2 linked regions of the Danio rerio genome follow. The protein of the gene in region 2 interacts with the protein of the main gene of each other region in a pairwise test. Links are inferred from orthologs where the notes say so. Each region holds a gene or a part of one and is shown on either strand. Other genes may lie near its edges.

Evidence for each region.
Region 1: the proteins of ttc23 (region 2) and trim35-4 interact in binary tests that used the Homo sapiens proteins (3 or more experiments, as listed by UniProt). The two-hybrid records come from large-scale screens. The link is inferred for Danio rerio from reciprocal best matches to the Homo sapiens genes TTC23 and TRIM10.

What each region holds. Positions count from the first base shown.
Region 1 is NC_133178.1:701,566-704,955, reverse strand, and holds the end of trim35-4 (zinc-binding protein A33), read left to right. Parts: intron 1-251; coding exon 252-793; 3' UTR 794-2,726; downstream 2,727-3,390. UniProt on the Homo sapiens protein: E3 ligase that plays an essential role in the differentiation and survival of terminal erythroid cells. May directly bind to PTEN and promote its ubiquitination, resulting in its proteasomal degradation and activation of hypertrophic signaling.
Region 2 is NC_133193.1:22,240,427-22,243,212, reverse strand, and holds the end of ttc23 (tetratricopeptide repeat protein 23), read right to left. Parts: intron 1,336-2,786; coding exon 1,253-1,335; intron 1,099-1,252; coding exon 987-1,098; 3' UTR 561-986; downstream 1-560. UniProt on the Homo sapiens protein: Participates positively in the ciliary Hedgehog (Hh) signaling.

The sequences.
Region 1 (3,390 bases), on a different chromosome or scaffold from region 2:
TCCGTTGTGTAAAACACATGCTGTATAAGTTGGCGGTTCAGTCCTCTGTGGCGACCTCTGATTAATAAATGGACCGAAAATAAAATGAATGAATGTATTTTGTGTGTTGTTTGCACCCGACTATAAATATAAATTCTGGTACTGCAAAGTTTTCCTCAAGCCTTTGCTGTAGCTCAGAATTATAAATTTGTCTGATTCTGATTGCTAATGAATAAGTGTAAATGTGAGCATCTGCTGTTTGCTCTCTGCAGCTCCTGTGGTTCTGGACCCGAACACGGCTCATCCAGATCTGCTGGTGTCTGCTGACCTGAGCAGTGTGAGATGGAGCTGGAGCAAACGGGCTCTCCCTGATAATGCGGAGCGATTCGACCACCACCCCTGTGTTCTGGCCTCAGAAGGCGTCCGCTCGGGCACTCTCAGCTGGGCAGTGGAGGTCAGACAGAGCTCAGACTGGACTCTGGGGGTCACCACAGAGCTCAACCAGAGGAAGGGCTGGGATTTCTTCAGCGCTGACGTCTGGAGCGTGTGCTATGATGAGTACAGCGTGTCCGAGCGGCCCGTGTTCGGGGTCCGGGTGAAGCAGCGGCTGGAGCGAGTGCGTGTGGATCTGGACTATGATGGAGGAACCATCAGCTTCTCTGATGCGGTCAATAACACACACATACACACCTTCAGCTCCAACTTCACACACACACTCATTCCGTTCTTCAGCTGTTACACCATATTCAATCTCAAGATCTTACCGTCGAATAGTCAACAACAGCTCAATACTAATGCAGAACTTACTCCTTAAAGAGACAGTACACACAAAAATGACAGCTTACTGAGTATTTACTCTCCCTCAAGTGCTTCCAAACCTGAAGTTTCTTTCTTCTGTTGAACACAAAGCAAGATATTTCGAGAAAGCTGAAACCATTGACTTCTATAGGAAAAGCAAAGACTATGGAAGCAATAGTTACAGGTTTTTGGCTTTCTTCAGAATATTTTCTTTTGTGTTCAACAGAAGAAAGAAACTCATAAAGGTTTGGAATGAGTAAAGTGTGAGTAAATGAGGACAGATTTTCAGTTTTTGGGTGAGATGTGCCTTTAAAGCAGGTATTCACCTCTTGAAGTTAATGTTGACCATCAGCTTTTGGGTTTCCAGCATTTTTCAAAATATGTCTATTAGTTTGTTCATCAGAACAGGTTTTGATCAAGTGGAGGGAGAATTTTCTGAACATTATCACATCTGTGTTGTTTGAAACTAGGGCTGGGATAATATATTGATTTATTGCGATTTGAGAAATGATTCTGAAATGTTCTGAAGGCATTGCAATTCTTTCTTAAATATATTCTGAGTTTAGTTTTTACCACCTGCTGGTAAAATGATCCTAGAGCACCGTCTGCTGGAAAAAACTATGCTAGAGCACCGTCTGCTGGTAATAACTAGCCTAGAGCACCGTCTACTAGTAAAAACGATCCCAGAGTACCGTCTGCTGGTAAAAACTAGCCAAGAACACCGTCTGCTGGTAAAAACAATCCTAGATGGCCATCTGCTGGTAATAACTAGCCTAGAGCACCATCTGCTGGTAAAAACTAGCTTAAAACGTCATTTGCTTGTAAAAACTAGCCTTAAACGCTGTCTGCTGGTAAAAAAAAAAAACTACCCTAGAGTACCGTCTGTTGGTAAAAACTAGCTACTGGTAAAAACTACCGGTAAAAACTAGCCTAGAGCACCATCTGCTGGTAAAAACAATCCAAGAGTGCTGTCTGCTGGTAAACACTAGCCTAGATCGCCATCTGCTGGTCAAAAAAATTGTTTAGAGTACTGTCTGCTGGTGAAAACTAGCCTAGAGCACCATGTACTGGAAAACACAACTAGCATATTGCACCATCTACTAGTAAAACTAGCCTAGAGCGCTGTCTACTGGTAAAACAATCCTAGAGTACCGTCTGCTGGTAAAAACTAGCCTACAACACTGATTGCTGGTAAAAACTAGCACATAGCACCCTCTACTGGTAAAAACAACTAGCATAAATCACCATCAACTATTTAAAACTAGCCTAGAGTGCCGTCTGCTGGTTTGAAACCTGCCTAGAGTGCCATCTACTGTTAAAAACTAGTATAGAGCACGTCTACTGGTAAAAAAAAAAAAAAAACTAGCCTGAAGCGCCATCTGCTGGTAAAAACTAGACTCAGAATTGTTTCTAGAGAGAGTCACGGTGTATTCAGGTATTTATCTTCCCAGGCCTATATAAATCACATTATATACTGAAGCATCATCGTTAATGACGTATTCAGCAATTTGAGATGCTGCTGTGAAGAGGAAAGTGTCTGAGGATTATTCCACTATATTTATCATTATTTTGTTACTGTTGTTCTTGATGTTCTCAGTGTCTGGTGTTTGATTTTTCACTCATTCCCTGTTCTGTTTATCATGTTTTCTCCTATTTCTGCACGTGCACACTTTATACACAACTGACACTTTTCTAGATGTTGATGAATCTGTTCTGCTTCAGGTGAAGATGATTAATAAGCTACGTTTGTTTAATTACCCCTAATCTTTAATCTCACTGATCCATTGACCAAAAATGTCAGATTTCCGTTGCTTTTGTTTTCATTCAGCTGATTTCTGTTTCAGATTTACTGTATATAAAGTGAAAACAATCCTTCACTTTCCTTCATTTCATGCTTCAGCGAGTCTGTGAGGCTTCAAGCGTTAAATAAAAGACGTCTGTGTTTGTAACAGTGTTCATTATAATAACTCATATAGGTTTTATTTGTTTCATAAGCATATCTGTTCATATTTCAGTGTAAATCTCTGCCTAAAGGCAGAGTCCGGGCTGATTTAGAGATTTGGAGCATTAGAAAACTCCAGCTATGAGGCCAAAAACAAAATAACTCTTCAACTCTTTTACACATGATCATTATTTTGCTCGTAACAGTTTATTTATGCTTGTAGACTTGTGTCTTGCCAAGCTGTGTTAGGTTTTTTCACGATCATAAAGACTTTATCAGTTCATTATTAATAATTAAAAAAAAGTCTTGTAAAAAATGCAAACTTAAAAGTAATGCTACTTTTCCATTTAATAAGTTGTTATTAATGTTTAATAATTCTACAAGCATGTCCTAATAGCACACGTACAACACAGAGATCTATTGATGACTGATCTATTTCCTCAGCTTTATGTTTAATAAAAGCAGCAGCCTCTTCTGTTGATCTCTGCAGTGCGCAGTGGTTTATACTGATTAAACTGATCACTGATCTGAGAAACTTATTATATACTTAAAACAATTAAACCCCAGAAAATGAAAAACATCACTGTGTGCTGAAAAAAACTTATTAAATATATGTTTAGAGTTGTAACATTAAATAAATAGACAAATAACATGACAGGCAGAAATTAATT
Region 2 (2,786 bases):
ACCGTCGCCCCAGTCTGAGGTCAAGAGCACTCTGAAGCAGGTTTTCATTCAGGATGTCTCTGTACATTGCTGCATTCATCTTTCCCTCTATCCTGACTAGTCTTCCAGTATCTGCTGCTGAAAAACATCCCCACCGCATGATGCTGCCACTATTATGCTTCACTGTAGGGATCGTTTTAGGAAATAAATGAACTTAATCTATTTTGGAATAAGGTTGTAAGGGCTATGAATACTTCTTGGATGCACGATATATTTCCAATCAAAAATGTGAAGTTAGATATATTTACAGTGAGACATTTACAAAACATTTTCATGGAACATGATCTTTAATTATATCCTTATGTTTTTTACAGTATATTTTGGGCTATTTCCAAAAAAGTAATCCAGGGTCACGTATACCTGCATCCCTTAACTTTCGAGGTGGAGTTTTAGCACTTATAAACTATGTATAGGCTTTTATGACTCAACCAACACTGTGTGAAACCTCTTTTACAGATATACGGTTTGGGCTGTCAGGTAACAGATGTAGTTGTTTTTAAATAAAAATTCACAAAGAAAAAGGGTGCTTTGTGTGCTGTTTTACTTTTTAAAAAAGACTAGTCTGTTCACTGTTTGAACACTGGTTTATATGCAAACAATAAATAAACCCTGAAAGCTCACATTTCACACACATTTCTCACACATTTCAGCAATTCTCAGAAATAAGAAAACTCTCTAGTCAAGGAGTGTTTGCAGAAAACCACTGTGACGGTGTATTAGATCACTGTTGGACGTTCTCATTTTCTGAACTGGAGATATAGTCACCTTGCCAACCACTTTGAGACTCAGCAACTCACATTAAAGACACAGCAGAGCTTGTGTGCTGTTCGAGGAATATTGCCTTATTCTTTTCCAGCCCACAGATTTCCCTGGGTGAAAAAGGATGAGGTCAAACATCCTTGACAGCCTATGCCGCATTCATTAGATCAGCCTGCTGGTCACTGTTGTTACGAGTTAGACAGACTAGATGTCACCTCAGATGCAGATGCAACCACTGCACAGAACGGAGGCCTTGTTTCAACGCGGCTTGCTTTACGTTTCTCACTCACCTCTGGCGACCTAGAAAAAGACCATAAAGCATTGAATGCCTCATTTATAAATAATATTCGTTTCCACTAGCACACTATGTTCAGGTGAAATGTCAGTGTGTATTGCACTGGAAGCACATTTTTAGACTTCTTGCTAGTGTAAATGTCTAGCAAAGGAAACTCACTGAGACAGCATGTCCACGCTTCTTTGAGTGGCTTTGGTTTTCTTGTGCTGAGGACCATACAGCAGACTCTGAATTTCAAAACACTGAAAAACAAAAAGGATACGAGTGGTTGACAAAACATCTGGGAGGCCATGATGTCACATAGTGTGCACCATCTGAAAGTATGTTAAATATACACTGCCGGATTTATAAAGACACTTTGGATTTAAGCAAATACTTAAATACCCCAAAATGACTGTTTACTCAGCCTCCAACTTTTAGAAGTTTCTGTGTCCTTTTTAACACCAAAGAAGATGTATTTTGCAGAATGTTGGAAACTAGAAGCATTGACTTTAATACAGTAGGGAAAATAATCCTATAGAAGTCGATGGCTTCTGGTTTCCAAAATTTAAAAGATACATAAACAGGTTTGGAAATAGTGGAGGATGAGTAAATGATGACATTTTTTTTTGGGGGGGGGGCATGTTTATTTTTCTGGCTTAAGTTCAACAATGGGCTGCACAGTGGCGCAGTGGGTAGCAGTTTCATCTCACAGCAAGAAGGTTGCTGGTTCAAGCCTCGGCTGAGTCAATTAATGTTTTTGTGTGGAGTTTGCATGTTCTCCCCATGTTCATGTGGGTTTCCTCCGGGTGCTCCAGTTTCCCCACAGGTCAAAAAATTAATAAATAAAAAACTCATAGGGCATGTGTTATATGGGTAAGTTAAATTGTCCGTAGTGTATGTGTGTGAATGAGTGTGTATGGATGTTTCCGCTGCATAAAACGTATGCTGGATAAGTTGGCGGTTCATTCCGCTGTGGTGACCCCAGATTAATAGAGACTAAGCCGAAAAGAAAATGAATAAATGAAAGTTTTACAGTTCTTTTAACGCTTTTTTCAATTGTTTTAATGTTTAACTGACGCAGAGTGTAGCATTTTATTTCTTGAACAACCATGCTGGAAGTAGTATCCCATGACTATATTCTATGACTATAAAACTTAAAGTAAACACAATTAAACACAGACTCCCTGACTAGTTTTAATAAAGATTTTTTTAAAAAGGATAATCACCATTTTAATGATGACATGAAAGGATTTTACACAACAAAGGGCTTCATGCAGTCAAAACTGCCTGCATTTGCGAAACTATAAAACATTTGGTTTAAATGCACGGTATGTATGGTAAACAGTATGTAAATGTCATTTTTGCCACTAAAGGGTTAATATTTATCAAAGAGTTTTTAGTGGAGAATGTGGAAAATGATTAGTCAATCTACAGAAATAAGGGTAGGAAGATTTAATAAATTATAGAATAGGGATTGTCTGTGCAGTAGTGGTTAGTAACAAAACGGGATACTCATTCAGATATATATGAAAGACACCAGTGATTAGTGTGATATCCAGTAAAGTTATAGTAGCTGGTGAGTTTTAACAGTACACCAAAAACGATAACAAATGCGGATAAATGTAAATGAAAGATACCTATTCCACCCAGAGTTAAGCTACTCAGTTGAAGGGTGTGTAAGAGGCTTGAAAAACATGTTCATGATTAAAAC